Rattus norvegicus: one gene and its partners. The protein of the gene in region 1 purifies or fractionates together with the protein of each later gene. This does not show direct contact. Links are inferred from orthologs where the notes say so. Each region holds a gene or a part of one and is shown on either strand. Other genes may lie near its edges.

Region 1 (5,122 bases):
GGTGTCTCCTTGCAGCAATGGAAACCCTATGACAGGTAAGATGGGGGTGGGGGGAGGGATGACATACACAACAAGAGAGAATCCCTCACTCTTAGAGGTGAGGTGGTGACGACATTGAGCTGCAGGGGTGAAAGGGAGGGGTCAGAAGCAAGATGAAAGAAGAGGAGGCACAGCACAGAGAGCTTCAAAGAGCGAGCTGAAGCCAGACGTGGTGGTACACGCCCATGACACCGGTGAAGAGGAGGTTGGGGAATCCAGGGTTCAAGGCTAGCCTTGGCTACGGGGCTTGAGCCTGACAGGCTAACAAAGGCCCCCAGCAGGGAAGCCAGCAGCACAAAGCTTCCCCAGACCAAAGGAAAACAAGTTATGAAGCCTTAACTAGTTATGTGCTCGTGCATGCCATACACACATCTCATCTTGTAGCCCAGGTTAGCCTAGAATTCACTCTACAGTCCAGGCTGGCTTGGAACTAACTCACCATGTAGATCAGTTAGGACTCAAACTCCCAGAATTCTCCTGGACCCCAGGTGCACGGACTACCGGCATGGACTCTATGTCTGGCCGTAATTGCTTGCTCCTGCATTTGAATTATTCTTCAGCAACCTTTGGTCTGGGATTCTTTGCTTTGATTCCTCGGCACTGTGTAACCACACCCGGCCACTTCCAAGGAGGAAGACTTCTCTCTCGTGTTCCAGAGGCCCGCTCACGCCTGGTCTCCCTCATCCCCCATCTTAATGAGGTTGGTGTTCAGCACAAAGCGCCCCCATCCATCAGCTTGGCACACATAGGCTCATCACAGTTGGATATGGACACAGCACCAACAAGGACTCAGACCTGAATTCACCTCCAAGTGCAGACTTTATGCAACAACCATCAACTTGAAATGCTATTCACTTAACTTCATGCCTGTTTTGCTCATGGGGCGGCTTCTAGACCATACAGAACTACTGACCAGCCCCGAAATTCACAGGCCACTCAGACCAGCACACTTCACTCAAACAAAGCAATATTCAGTAATTTAAGTCACCATTCAAAGGCCTTAACCATTTGAAAGCAAACAAAAGAACAAGCCCAAGACCCCAGGCTCAGTCCATGAGAGAAGACCCTCTTCTTCATTTTCTCAATTCTTTCACCCTCCTTCCCTTCCTCACCCACCCCATTGCCACTGCTAAGTCCAAGCCCACTACCCGCCAGTACTGCTAACTCACAGCACAGGGGACCCACAGCACCAGGGGACATGCTTCTATCTAATTCTAATGTGCTGTTCTCCCTCCCCAACCTCAGGGCATCTCTCAACTTGACAGACTTTCCAGGAAGTTGGCTGGGGTTAAGGAAGGTTGGATTGAAAGGCAAGCTCAAGGGGGCCTACACACGTCCTATGTAAACTAACCATTCAAGGGCGGGACCTGAGGAAGGATCCCTCCCCCGCCCCCCACAATCACGAGAGTTTGAGAAGTATCTGTGAGGCCAGGGCTGAGAAACTTAAAGGTGGAAAACAATCCAGATCTCAGGCAGGGGGTTATCCTCAAAGGTAAGAGGAAGAATGAGGTCAGAGAGGGCTCGGAATCATACAGAGAGGCAAGCTAGACATAAACAATATGCTAGCGATTGGGAGCATGGTAGCTCCCATAACTTGAGTGCTTAGTCCCTGTTGGTGAAACTGTTTGAGAAGGATGAGGGGGTGTGGCCTATTGGAGGGGGGTCCCCAGGGGTGGGTTCTGAGGGTTTTTTTTTTTGGTTCTTTTTTTTTTTTTTTCCCGGAGCTGGGGACCGAACCCAGGGCCTTGCGCTTCCTAGGTAAGCGCTCTACCACTGAGCTAAATCCCCAGCCCCGGTTCTGAGGTTTTTGAAAGCTCAGGCCACTTGCCATTGCCAGTTAGAGTGCTTTCCCTCCCTGCCTCAGGGTTGTGGAACAAGTGGTGAGCTCTCGGGCACTGTTCTAGCACTGTGCCTGCCTGTTTAACACCTTACCCCCACCAACCACCACCATGATGTTCATGGACTCTAATCCTCTAAAACTTTGAGCACCAAATTAAGCACCCTGTGGCTTGAATATGCATGGCCCACAGGAAGTGGCACTATTAGGAGGCATGGCTTTGTTGCAGGAAGTGTGTCACCGTGGGGGTGGGCTTTGGGGTCCTATTCTCAGGCTCCATTCGACTTCCTGGTGTCCCTTTACTCTTTGACCTTCCGTATCCTGCTTTCTAATCTTGCTACACTTTATCAAATCATTCCTTCTAAGAGTGAACCGTAGGACAGAGTCTAAACTTAGTTGATCTAAGACTTCTGTCAGTGCAATTAATCTGATGAATCTCTTCACCTTGGCCTCAGCTAGACTCTTTGAACAAGGGCAAAAAGCAGCCACATCCTTCACCAAAATATCAGAGCAGTCTCCAGGCACAAACTAAAATTCTTCTCTTCTGAAACAGCTAGAGCCAGGACCCCATAGTCAAATCGCGCTCAGCACCAATGTCTTTCACGATCCTACTAGGATAGTGCATTAGGACCCACCTAAAACATCCCACTGCTTCCAAATCCAAAGGCCCAGAGTCCACATTCTCCCATAGAAAAGCATGCTCAGGCCCGTCACAACAGTACCTCAGCCCCTGGTACCAACTTCTGCCTTAGTTTTACTGCTCTGAACAGACACCATGACCACGGCAACCCTTATAAAGGACAGGGGTTGGCTCACAGTTCAGAGGTTCAGTCCATTATCATCATGGAGGGAAGCACGGCAGCGTCCAGGCAGACTTGGTACAGGAGAAGGAGCTGAGAGTTCTACATCTTGACCCAAAGGCAGCCAGGAGGATTCTGTCTTCTGCAGGCAGCCAGGAGGAGAGCCTTTTCTGCACTGGGCAGAACTTGAGCATAGGACCTCAGAGCCCACCCCCACGGTGACACACTTCCTCCAAGGCCACGCCTCCTAAAGTGCTACTTCCTGTGGGCCAAGCATATTCCAACCACTTCATCCTTCCTTTTACAAGTTCCCTTGGTCACCGTGGCTTATCACAGCAACAGAAGAGTAACCGAGACACAGGCTAATAGACCAGGAAACAGGAACTGGGACCTGAGTTTCTCAAGTAAAGCCTTTGGAAGACAGAAGGGGACAAGGGCAGGACTCGTCACTTGGCTGACACTGGCAGAATGAAATAATGAAGGTCTGGGCAGTGTCTGGATTTCTGCCTCTGCCAAAACTGCTCCCGACTCAGCATCCCTAACTCTGGCATCTTCTTCCTCCTCATAACAGCAGAAATAAACCACTCGGTCTGGAGCTCAGCAGGTCAGAGCTCTACCTGCTCTCACAGAGGACCCAAGCTTGGTGGTTCCTAGTACCCAGGTTGGGAGGGAGCCTTACAGCCACCTGTCACTCAGGTCCAGGGGCTCAGGCAACCTGTTCTGGATTCCATGGGCACTGCATGCATGTGTGTGTACATATACACATAATGTTAATAAAGTAAGTATATGGCTCACCTTTACTGACATCCCATATGATAACTGTGTTATCCACAGAAGCAGAGGCCATCATATTCCCATCAGTTGCCCAGCATATATCATACACATCTTCTAAGTGGCCCCTAGAGTCCAAAGACAGAAGGAATAACATTATTACTGCAAAAAGAGAAAAGCTATCAAAAAGTTCAAAGTCACTGGGCAGTGGTGGTGCATGCCCTATGGAGGCAGAGAGAGAAGGATCTCTGAGTTCAAGGCCAGCCTAGTCTACAGAGTGAGTTCCAGGACAGCCAAGGCTACGCACAGAAACCCTGTCTCGAAAAACTGGGGGAAAAAAGTTCAAAGTCTAAAACCACACACTGGAATTAGACTGTAGGGATTTTCAGTGGAGCTGTGTCAGGCCTGGCTCTAAACATTTGTTTTCAAGGACATCTGTATTGAATGTGAATCAGAGGGCATCACGGGCCCACACTGATATTCCAAGCACTAGGAAGCCAAGGGAATAGGGTAGAGTGTTCAAGACCAGCCTGGGCTTCATAGCTAGACTAGGCTGGCTCAAAAACCAGGTCGGGGAAGACCGGATTCTTTTTCCCCAAGGGAAACTTCATAACGGAGAGAAAAATGTATTTTTATCTTGTTCTAATCCTTTATTCTCTTATAAAGTAGGCAAAGGCTTTACGTTAGGTACATAAACTATTAAGGTATTCAGACTGTGAAGTGGGACTTAATCACACTTGCTGCTAATCTGAAGTCAAGCTGTGCTCTCCGCCCCAAGGCGGGCTCCACAGAACCCCTGTGATTCCAGCTCCGAGGGATTCGCTTACCTCTTCTGACCTCTTCGGTTACTCACACACAACGCACTTCACTCACAAGCCAAACAATCATAAGTTAGAATAACCAAAATAGACCTTTAATTAGAAAACAAACTGCAGGGGCAGCCCCTCCCCCGTTACCTCAGGGTTTTTACCACAGTCCAGTTCTCCTTGTTCAGCTGAGCCTCATCTTCATCCTGAAAGGCGATCTGCTCCGGCTCCTTGCTGTCATTCATCTTCCACAGCAGGATGACGGCATCTGTGAGGTAAATCAGCACAGCATGAGCCAGGCTCTCCCGTGCCCTCCTTCACTTCTGGAGTTTTATGGTGTCCTGTATGTTTTATGTGGCTCGGTGGACGGTCTGGCCTGCGGAGTCACTCACTGCCAAGAATATGGACAGGCTGTGCACAGTGATACATGCCTGTAACCCAGCCCCTGGGAGACTGGGGTAGGTGGATCCAAAGCAAGGCTACATGGCGAGTTTGAGGTTAGCCTGGGCTACATGAGACCCCACCTCAGGAAAACACAAAAAGTTTGAACCTCTACATTAAGAAACTAGAGAAACAACTTAAAGATGGCAGATCAGGAAGAGGAAAGGCAGTGCCGGTCTGCAGATTGTGCCTGTGGGCCTCATCTTGATGCATACCCACCTCACAGTGCCCCTGTGAGGACTGAGTGTAGGAATCTGTGGACAGCACTTGTAGCTCGGCGGCTTGGACATGTAAGCCACACACTCCTTCACCGTATCAGTACGGACACATCAGACACCTCAGCCTGACACAGCAATGGTCCAGACCTAACGGTTTCTCCTGAGGTGACTACAGGCTCACTGTAACATGATCCTTTTACCATGTCCAGA
Region 2 (5,122 bases), on another chromosome or scaffold:
ACAGGAATGCTTTGGGAGGCCATAAAAGTTGGCAGGGTGCTTGGCACAAGCAAGCACCAGGCAGTCCCTACACCTACATAAATAGAGTCTAGGAATGAGGGTGAAGGAAAGAACACATGCACACCATGTGATACCAAAGACAACCGCATCCAGCCCCGTCCTGTTATCGTCCTGCACTACAGCTTACAGACCCCACAGTTAATCCTGTCATTTAATAACAAACTGATACACTTTACAGAAGCAGAATCAGGGATTGAAAGTAACGAAGCCAAAAGAGTGTGAGGGCTAAACAGTGTAAAGTCTCAAGCCCTCAAGAGAACTGAGTTGTTATGGGAGGGTAGGTGAGAATAGTCAGGAGTGGCCCAGAAGACCACACCAGGGACCCTGTATTCTCCTGGCAGAGCTAAGTGAGATTAAAAAATACACAACATGTAGGCTGCTGCTATTAGCTTTCTAAAAGCTGGACAACATCCTTTCTATGCCAGTATGTCAAAACAAAGGCCAGCTGGTCATCAATATATTCTAATTAACAACCAAGAAACTGAAGTCATCGTCATTATAATAAAATTCCCCAAAGCAACCAACCCCAAAGATCACGACTCTAAGGTGATTAAAAGTTACAGGGAACAGAAGGAAAAGATCAGGATGAAAGAGAACACTATGGGAACCACACAGCATGTGAAGGATGTAATGCCTGACTTTCACAGAGCTACACTTAGGAGTCAGACCATCAGTTATATTACAAGGGAACCAATACCAACATCTCTCCCGTGGAGCACAGTGATTGATAAGCACATCATTTTTATGGATATGTTTAGGATGGAAAGGGACGGGAGAAGCGAGAGGAGGCAGGAAGGTGAAGGTATTATATACAAAGAGAAATGACAGAGACTGCCTCCTCCTTTAGCTCTTTGCGCTTTCTTTTTCTTTGTTTTCCGCATCCTCTGGATACGCATGCCACGTCAGTCTCTCTTCATAAAATGCTATCACAATTTGTGGACATTTCACATTAGCTTCTTTTGCAAGGACCAGGTCAGCTTCATCTGTGTCTTTCCTGGAAAGAAAGGGTACAAGACTTAGAAGGAGACATGAGACTGAGACAGTCTGTCAGTGTCAATGCCTGAGGTTAGCTGGTTTGATATCGAAGTAGAAAAGGCTCTTTACAGGGCTGGAGATATAGCTCAGAGGTGGAGTCTCTGTATTTGACCTTTAGCATCAAAAAATAAACAAAAAATAAAGAGCTGAAGAAATGGCTGTTCTTGCAGAGGACCTGGGCTCAGTTCCTAGCACCTACATGGTACCACAGGACTGCCTGTAATGCCAGTTCCAGGGGATCCAACACCCTCTTCTAGCCTCTGCAGGCGCTGCACACATGGTACACACACACAACATATATATATGGAGGCAAAACACATACACGTAGAAAAAAAATTAAATAGGCAATAAATCTTAAAAGAAAAAGGAAAGGGAGGAAAGGAAAGAGAAGAAAGGAAAAGGCCAGTCAGATATGTGAGTACATGCCTATAACTCTGTAACTCCAGGCCTAGGGAGATGGGGACAGGAGAATGAGTTCAATGTCCTGCACTACATAGTAAGTTCAAGGACACCTTGAGCTACATGAGACCTTGTCAAGAAAGGAGGAAGGGAGGATGGGGAAGTATTCCACTTTCTTCTGTAAGTCACTTTCTCTAATAAAGTAATTTGTGCTTTATTTCTTTATTTAGCATTCAGTTTGATGTCTTTTGTTGAAATTAATTTCTCTTTTAGACATCATTTGGTGACCCTGATCCTCAATGATGTAGGAAGTTTTACTTAGCTCTTACCCCATAGTCATAGGCTAATGATCTCACGGTAAATGATTCAGTTCTATACAGAATTTAGGTAGTAGTAATACTTTTTTTTAATCCAAATATGATTACTATAACACAACAATACCAAAGTTTGAGAATGTCACAAATTTATTCTGAACCATAAATTCCCACTTAATACTGACACTATGGATTAAATTTAGGAATTCTCAATTTCACACTCTTTCTTCATAGCAAAAACACAACTGTGAAGCACAATTCCTCTTACCATTTCATTAAGAACATTAAGTCTCCACAGGAATCTGTCGCCCCAATGATCTTTTCTGGTTCCAGTCCTCTCTCAAAGCCCCGAGCGATATCATTGCTTTGCTATAAATAGAATAGGAGAGATTGGAGCTTGCAGAGATCAAGGAAAAACAAAACAAAACAAAACACCTGTTTTTCTGAGCTACAAATCATAGCCTTTGTTAATATCATCTGTTATCATTTGTCATCAGTTCAGAAAATCCTTGCAACTCAAGAAATCAGAGGCAGCAATGTTATGAGATATTTTTGCAATAGATGTAGTCATCTTCCCTGGTATTCCTTGTAAATGATTAAGGGGGGACCCCCCACAAGTCTTTAGCACCCCAGGAGTCTCAGGAGAATCACCTGGGTACTCCACCCCTCTAAGCTACTCAATCTCTTCAGCACTGCGAGCAGACCCTCCCTCTACTGTGACTTCTCAGACAGCAAACAAGCTCACTTTCACTCTCAACTTCAGATGCTTTCTCGACAATAGCCTTTTAGACTTTTAATTTATCTTAACAGTGGCCAACAGTTTTAATATTTCACAGTCATTTATATTGTAAAACAGAGGTTCAAAGATCACCAACACTAACTTGCATATAACCTGAGAAAGGAGCCTCTGGCCTGCTCAGACTCGCTACTCACATTAATTGGGACTGGTCTGAGACTGCAAACAACTGAACTGACCTCATGAGAGGAGCACAAGGCCTGCTTTAGTCTCTGGCTGATCCAGGTGTGATGACAACAGTCAGAACAAAAAAGTCTAATTTTATACATATTTTTTTCTAAAATTTACAAGAGATAATACAAGCTCACTCATCACAAAGAAAACTTAAGATTTACCATAGGAACCAAATCCCAACCCTCTCTGATCATGACTTGCCTTTGAGCTACAAAAGCAGGCCAGTTAGACAGCTCAGTGGGCAAAAAGGCTTGTAGCCAAGCCCAACAACCTGAGTTCGATCCCTAGGACTCACAGGGTGCACAGGGAGTATCAACTCCCACATATTCCCTGACCCATACCCCTCAAAACAATGAGCAAATACAAAACACACAAACAAATGATTCTGAAATAGATACACAAAAGTCTGCACGGTCCTGGTGGTCCTCAAAGATACCAGAACCCCAAAAGGAAGGAAATCGTAGCCAAGGATCAGTGGGAAGACACTGGCTCTTTAAGACACAACCTCTTTGGGGCATTTAAGGGGAATTGGTTCCCAGATGCAAACACAGCTGCTCACAGCTGGAATGCTGGCACAGTGACTAAGTCATACATCATCTCTGGCAGCTGGAAAGAGTCTGCTACATAGGGAGGGAAATAGAAAAAGAATGTTCAAGCTGCTGAAAGGAGCTGAGGCAAGGAAAACACTAAAATCATCACAGGTAGTAATCTTAAATCAGGCATAAAACCGACTAAGAAATTTCTTCTGCAGTGGTCTAAAAAAAGGCAATCTCCCCATACCTTGAAAACACACAACTACTATGATCATGCCAGCTGTCTACCTGACAGCAGCCAGTATTGCTGAGAATGCTATCAAAGGCCCCAGACAAACATTATGATGTAAAGGGTGTCTGGAGGTTGTTTTCAAGGTCAGCAGCTCCAGAACCTAGACACGAAGCCCTCTGAAGTGGCCGGGGACTCAAATCAAAGCCAGATTACTGCCTTTAAAAGAACAAGACCTTAAGTTGAAGAAATGTTTACTATCTTTCACAATACATAGTTAAAAGTCTTTGATTATTATTTGCTACTTTAACTAGAAATGAACCAAATGACAAAAGTCAGAACACAAAGGGTTAAAAAAAGGTGATACCACCAAGCCCAAAGTTCCAACTTCAATTCCAAGACCAACCTGGTAGAAGAAGGCTACTGTCTTTTTCAAGTTGTTCTCTACCATCCACCCATGTGCAGTCCACACATGCTTAACACATGCGAAATAATAAAATGTACTAAAATATATAAATGAAATTTAAAAAGGGCACAGACAGAGTGAGACCAGCAAGGTCTACACAGTGAGTTTCAGGCCAGCCAAGGTTCATGCATTGTTTGAGACCCCATCTCATACAAACAAACAAACCCCAAAACAAAAAACAAGTCCTCAGAAAATGAAAAGTATTCTTCCCTTAAGTTCCTCATCAATACAGTTTATTATAGTCAGAATATGGCATAGGTTGCAGCCGGTGCTGGCCCTGGCCTTTAATCCCAGTGCTCAAAAGGCAGATGCAAGAGAATCTCTGTGAATCAGACATCAGCCAGGTCTACATAGCCAGCTCCAGGGCAGCCATTACTACACAGAGACCTTGTCTTAGTAAACAAACAAACAAACAAACAAACAAAGAAGTTGTAAAATTAAAATAACAAGAGAAAGAGGTCAGGGACAGCCCCCATAGAGGCCAAGAATTACACACAACCTTTATAAAACCCCAATGCTTCAGTTTACCCACAGAAACTCTCATTTAACTGATGTGAGGTTCACCTTGGTTACTAGAGGCATAGTCACAGTTTTGAGAAAAGTGTACAAAAATGGGCATCTAACTTTAGCATAGATAAACAGGGATGCTATATGAACTAATACTTGTATTTTATTAAATATTAAGCACATAGGTTTCATAACCCTGAAATAAATGGCAAGAGGGAAAGCTGGAGATGTAGAATGTTTGTGTAACATATACATTTGGCAAAGATGAGACAGAAAAAAAAGGGACAATGTGGTGTTTATACACCCTCAATCTAAAAATCAGGTAAAAGCAACTGAATCAAACCAAACTTCATAATTACTTTCCAAACTAAAGAATAAACACACAAAAGATGAAAATTATTTTCTTTTTAGGTTATACAGCTAGAATAAAATTAGTGAAAGTAGCCAGGTATGGTGCTATTTAGGCACATGCCTAAAATCCCACCGTTCAGGAGCCGATGGCAGAAGTGGAAGTTCCAGGCTAGCCAGAAATACATTGTGAGTTCAGGGTCAGACAAGTCGGTTATAAAGCATGACCTCTGGCTCCAAACAACAGAGAGGCTGGGCTCC
Region 3 (5,814 bases), on another chromosome or scaffold:
GAATTGGTTGCTGCAGATTAAATCCAGAGCCTTGCACACACACAACACACCATGCTGCTTTTCTGTGCCAGGATCTCAACTCTGTAGCCTGGGTTGGTCTCAAGCATGTGACTATCTTTCTTCTGCAACCACCTCTATTCAGTGTTTGTAGCAGGGAGACAGGGACAGAGGACAACTTACATACGTCAATTCCCTCCAGTCACTATGTCAGTCTTGGGACCAAACAGGTTGTCAGACTTGGTGGGAAGTGCCTTTATTCATCAAGTCATCTCAAAGGTCTAGCCTTTTTTTTTTTTTTTTTTTTTTTTTAAATTCTTCAGCCCAGGTCTCACTCTCTGGTCCAGGGTAGCATGGATTTTATTATACCTTATATAAACTAGACTGTCTTCAAACTCCAGGCAATAGCCTCTACTGTCTCTCCTTCAGTGACATATTATAGACACATGCCACATACCCACCTGTGAAATTATACACAAAACTTTATTTTACACCACTTTACACAAAAGACATTAAGAAGGCCAGAGTACAGCTCAGTGGCATAGCACATGGGTTTTGGGGTCCAATCCAGTGTACTACCACCACAGAAAAAAAAAACCAAAAACAAAAAACCCCCAAACCAGCACAACACACTTTCCCAAATTTGGGCTAGGAGTGTAGCTCATCAGCAGAAAGCTTGCCAAACTGGAATGCAGCTCAGTGTTTGCCTAACATGTAAGAGGCCCTGAATTCCACGCCAACACTGCAAAAAGTAAAAACACATACACATTAAAAATGAAACTGTCGGGGCTGGAGAAATGGCTCAGCGGCTAAGAGCACTGACTACCCTTCCAGAGGTCCTGAGTTCAAATCCCAGCAACCACATGGTGGCTCACAACCATCTGTAATGAGATCTGATGCCCTTTTCTGGTGTGTCTGAGGACATAGACAGTGTAATTAATATGTAACAAATAAATCTTAAAAAAATTGAAACTGTCAGCTAGGTATGATGGCGCACACCTATCTCAGTTCAGGGGCTGTAGAGAGAGATGGCTCAGTGGTTAAGAGCACTGACTGCGGGGCTGGGGATTTAGCTCAGTGGTAGAGCGCTTACCTAGGAAGTGCAAGGCCCTGGGTTTGGTCCCCAGATCCGGAAAAAAAGCAAAAAAAAAAAAAAAAAAAAAAAAAAAGCACTGACTGCTCTTTCAGAGGTCCTGAATTCAAATCCCAGCAACCACATGGTGGCTCACAACCATCTGTTATGAGATCTGATGCCCTCTTCAGCTACAGTGTACTTATATATAATGAATTTAAAAAAAAAAAAAAGATGATAAAATCCAAACATACCAACTTCTAGGTCCAGTCCTCAAAGTTGGAAAATGGGGGTATCAGGCTGATTCAACAGGTAAAGGTCCCACAACCCTAATGACCTGAGTTCAATCACTAGAACAAGTGTTACAGAAGAGAATGACCCCCACCCCCAAAGTTGTTCCTGATCTCCATAAGTATGTCATGGAACACCCGCCCCCACTTTTCAAAACTAAGGGAAGCTGAAGAGATGGCTCAGCAATTAAGAGTTCTCCCAGAGGTCCTGAGTTCAATTCCCAGCAACCATATAGAGGCTCACAACCATCTGTAATGAGATCTGATGCTCTCTGCTGGTGTGTCTGAAGACAGGGACAGTGTACTCATATACATAAAATAAAAAAAAAATAAAAAAAAGTGACTAGATAGAAAATTAGAAATGCTTTCACTGCCCAAATCTTTTAAGGAACATATGACTCTTTTCCCTAGGCCTTGAACTTCTGCTGCTCCTGCCTCTACCCCCCAAATGCTGGCTGTACTCACAGATAACTGGGCTCTTTTCAACACACCACCTCCCATATATGCCTAGAGAGCATCCAAGGAAGAGCACAGGCACCAATATCCTGATTATAGTCATACATCTATCAGAAAACCTTAGATCTTTTGATTAACACAAAACTGGAGAGGACACTATATTCTAGTGTAACTAGTATATAATATATATAACTAGTATATAATTTTTAAGACTTTTTATGGCACTGAAACATAACTCAGTGGTAGACAACTTGCATGTGTGCAAGGTCCTCAGTACCAAATACCGAAATGAGTTCCATATTTCTTTCTTTCTTTTTTTTTTTTTTTTTTTTGGTTCTTTTTTTTTCGGAGCTGGGGACCGAACCCAGGGCCTTGCGCTTCCTAGGTAAGCGCTCTACCACTGAGCTAAATCCCCAGCCCCGAGTTCCATATTTCATATACTGTGTTTCAGTATAAAACTATTTTCGATGCCTGTGGGCATGCAGGACCTGCTTTCTTTGGTCCCTGCCATACCCCACTTGTCAATCAGAGGACAATTTTGTGAAGTCAACTCTTTCTTTCCACCTTTACCTGGATCCTAAGAGTTAAATTGAGGCTTACACAGCAAGAACCTTTTTTATCTGATGAGTCTTGCCTCATACAGCCTCCCTACTCACAATAAAGACCTATTAAAGGCAGAAAGTGGCCTTTTCACCCTTGACTCCTCTGGTAGCCAAGGAAGGCCTTAAATTTCCGATCCACCGGTTTCCAGCTCCCAAGTGCTAAGATTACAGGTACAGGCCATCACACCCAGCCTAATTTATGGGATACTGGGGATTGAATCCAGGGGTTTGCGGCAGGGTAGGCAAACATTCTACCAACTAAGCTACACACCCCCAAGTACCCCTTTTTTCTTCCACATTTGACATGGACACGTTAGACTTCTACCCTACTTACCCCAGCAACTCCACTTTTAGACAAGGTCAAGAAAATGTCTGACCCTTCACCCCAAGACAGGTTCAACAAATCTCTTCCCCGTTAGCACACCCGGAGCAGCCCACGTCCAATTTTACTGGAAATTACTTTTTCATAACTCTGGCAAGAGAAATTTCTCTGATAGTGGCAATTGAACCCAATATCCTCAGGTTTCTTTTTCTTTCCTCCAAGTGCTAAGGGGATTGCCCGCGATTGCCACCGTGTCCACTCTCTCAGGTTACACTTCTAAACCTTTAGTGTACGAAGTCGTGATCCTTGCCACGCACACCCAAAGTACCAAGCCTGTCTCCTTATGGACGTCCCAAAGTTTTCTTCCTTCTCCCGCCCAACTCCAGAGTTGCTGAGCCGGGTCAAACGCTCCTCGTCTAGTTCTTGAAAAGCTAACCCTCCGATGGCTCCGCTCCTCAGGAACCACTCCGCGCCCGGACTCTGGATTCACTGCCCCGCCCTCTCCACGCTCCCGCAGACCGCGAGCTCTGCGCGGGAAACCGACCGGTCGGGCGCTGGGCCGCGTCCCCAGCTCCTGTCTCCACTCTTCCGTTAGCGGCCCGCGCTCGCCCGCGGCCTCCCGCCGTCGCTCCCCCTCCCGCTTCCAGCCCGCCTCTTCACCTCGTAGCAGCGCCCGACAGTCCGAGAGGAATCGGTGTCGCGCTTCTTGCGCGTTGCGTCAGGCGGTCCCAGGGAGTAGCACCCAGAGGAGCAAACAGCCGTGTGGCCTCAAGTCGGTCGTCCAGATGAAGCGGCGTACCGCAGGCCCGGCCAACGGCCCTCCCCTCAGCCGAACAAAAGAGATTCTCACTCTGCGCGGCCCGCCGCCTGCACTGCGCAGACGCGACGACCCGCCGCAGGGCAACTTGGGATTCAGAGTCGGCCCGAAACTACAAATCCCAGAGTGCCGCGAATCCCGCGCCGCCCACCTCCACTTTCAGGAGTTGTAGAGTTTTCTTTGTAGTTTCTTTTTTTTAACTTTCTGGAAAGGCGAAGTCGACTGTTTTGAACACATAACTCTACAGCCTAGAAAATTACTGGGTAATGGTGGGGTTTGTTTGTTTAATAACAGGGTACGTAGCCCAGCTGGCTTCGGAAGTTGTGGCCTTTCAATTGCTTCAAACCTCAGAGTGCTGGATTTCAGGGGCATGCTAGTACTCCTTGCTCAGTCTACAAAATTAGGACACGGGGGTTTGGAAACTAACACGTTGATGTTTGGTCACTCTGCACTTAAAAGAAAAATCTTATCATATTCGTTACCTGAGATTTATCAAATCTCCACCTTCAATAATGTCCAGCAAGCTTATCTATTATTGCCACCTAGAAGAGGTTCCTACCTCACAGTTTGAATCAGTATTCCGTTCAGAAAGTTAAACCTCTAGGTAGACACCATCGCCACTTTCTTAATTTTCTTTTTTTCTCTCCCCCTCCTTTTTTCTTGTTTCACTTTAGTTGTTTTTGTTGAGTGGACAGGGTCTCAAGGAAGCACTTAAACGCCTGATCTTCCTGCTTCCACTTCCCAAATGCGGAGATTACAGACATGTGCCACCACATGCAAAACTTTCCCTTTGTTGTCCTTGCCAGTGGGCGACTTTCATGGTGATTTCTTCATCTCCATGAACAAACTTTATCAAACTAGAGAAACAGAACTAAGCAAAAGGCACGACTGTCATTCTTTAACAAGTGCACTAGTTGTGATTCAGGTAGGTTGCTGCTGCTAATTGTTGGGCTGGGAACTCCAGTAAGGACAGAAGACTCATTGTATCCGCCACACTCAGTAAAGTCCTGTGCTTATTGCTAGCATGCATACGGTCATGCTTTGACTCTCAGTATTTATTGGTAAAAATTCATTGATAGTCGGTTTAAGTGAATATATGAGATGTCCAACAGATAATAGAACTGATCAAATTTTCCAAGACCTCTTGTACTAGTACTCAGGATTAAGGCAGGAGGATTGTTGTGAGTTTAAGAGAGGCTTAGGCTATGTAAGGAGTACCAGGCCAGCCTAGGTTATAGAATGAGAGCATGTCTCAAAAAACCAAAACAAGGACAACTTTCCTGTTCAAAAAACTTAAGACAAAAGAAAAAGAGAGATTAGCTTCACAATATCATACAAAAATCAGTCAAAAGAGTCTGATTCTTCCTGAAAATACTTGGGTCAAGCCTCCAAAACCAGGCGGCAACCCATGCATTCTGGATAACTTTAATAGTGACAATACTAGGGGCTGGAGAGATGGCTCAGTGGTTAAGAGCACTGACTGCTCTTCCAGAGGTCCTGAGTTCAATTCCCAGCAACCACATGGTTACTCACAACCATCCGTAATGGGATCTGATGCCCTCTTCCGGTGTGTGTCTGAAGACAGCTATAATGTACTCATATATAATAAATAAATAAATCTTTAAAAAAAACTTAGTTTTGTTCTATCTTGTATTGGTGTTGGGCATCAAATCCAGTGCCTTGTATATGATAAGGGCACTTTATAGTCCTGGAGAGGTGGTTTAAAAGTTAAGGCTCTTGCTGCTCAGATCAAAGTTCTGTTTCCAGCACCCATGTGGTTCACAACCTCCTGTAACTCCAGTTCCAGAGAACCCAACTCCTTCAGATCTCAGCTACGCACACATACACTCAGGCACACAACTCTTTACTACTGAGCTATTCTTCAAGCTCAAGACATTATTATTGAGGTCCTATTCCACTGCCAGGAATCCTGGTTTCTTTTTTTTTCACCTTCTTATTCTTGAATCTGGACCCTTGTATGTAACAAGCAAACCCTGTGAAGCTAGGAACCTACCCTCAGCTTCTCCAGCCCAGGTAAAGCAGCCCCTTTCCCTACAGACAGGCTTTCTCTGTCTTGACAGCTTTCTGGCTGTCTTGAAACTCAATCTGGAGACCAGGCTGGCCTTGAACTCCAGAGATCCAGCTGCCTCTGCTTCCCAAGTGCTGGGATTAGAGGGGTGCGCTACCATGCCCGGCTAAGTTACTTTTTTGATTTTTTTTTCTTTTTCTTTTTTTTCGGAGCTGGGGACCGAACCCAG

What was found.
Region 2: the proteins of Chaf1b (region 1) and Cbx5 purify together in Homo sapiens (affinity purification with mass spectrometry; 8 studies listed by BioGRID and IntAct, with this or other methods). This does not show direct contact. The link is inferred for Rattus norvegicus from reciprocal best matches to the Homo sapiens genes CHAF1B and CBX5.
Region 3: the proteins of Chaf1b (region 1) and Cbx1 purify together in Homo sapiens (affinity purification with mass spectrometry; 4 studies listed by BioGRID and IntAct, with this or other methods). This does not show direct contact. The link is inferred for Rattus norvegicus from reciprocal best matches to the Homo sapiens genes CHAF1B and CBX1.

Annotation. Positions count from the first base shown.
Region 1 is NC_086029.1:46,673,203-46,678,324, reverse strand, and holds part of Chaf1b (chromatin assembly factor 1 subunit B), read right to left. Parts: intron 4,522-5,122; coding exon 4,404-4,521; intron 3,576-4,403; coding exon 3,472-3,575; intron 1-3,471. UniProt on the Homo sapiens protein: Acts as a component of the histone chaperone complex chromatin assembly factor 1 (CAF-1), which assembles histone octamers onto DNA during replication and repair.
Region 2 is NC_086025.1:136,211,142-136,216,263, forward strand, and holds the end of Cbx5 (chromobox protein homolog 5), read right to left. Parts: intron 2,178-5,122; coding exon 2,077-2,177; coding exon of another isoform or gene 2,073-2,076; exon of another isoform or gene 2,071-2,072; intron 1,055-2,070; coding exon 904-1,054; 3' UTR 507-903; downstream 1-506. UniProt on the Homo sapiens protein: Component of heterochromatin that recognizes and binds histone H3 tails methylated at 'Lys-9' (H3K9me), leading to epigenetic repression. In contrast, it is excluded from chromatin when 'Tyr-41' of histone H3 is phosphorylated (H3Y41ph).
Region 3 is NC_086028.1:82,264,568-82,270,381, reverse strand, and holds the start of Cbx1 (chromobox protein homolog 1), read right to left. Parts: upstream 3,621-5,814; 5' UTR 3,400-3,620; exon of another isoform or gene 1-3,399. UniProt on the Homo sapiens protein: Component of heterochromatin. Recognizes and binds histone H3 tails methylated at 'Lys-9', leading to epigenetic repression. Interaction with lamin B receptor (LBR) can contribute to the association of the heterochromatin with the inner nuclear membrane.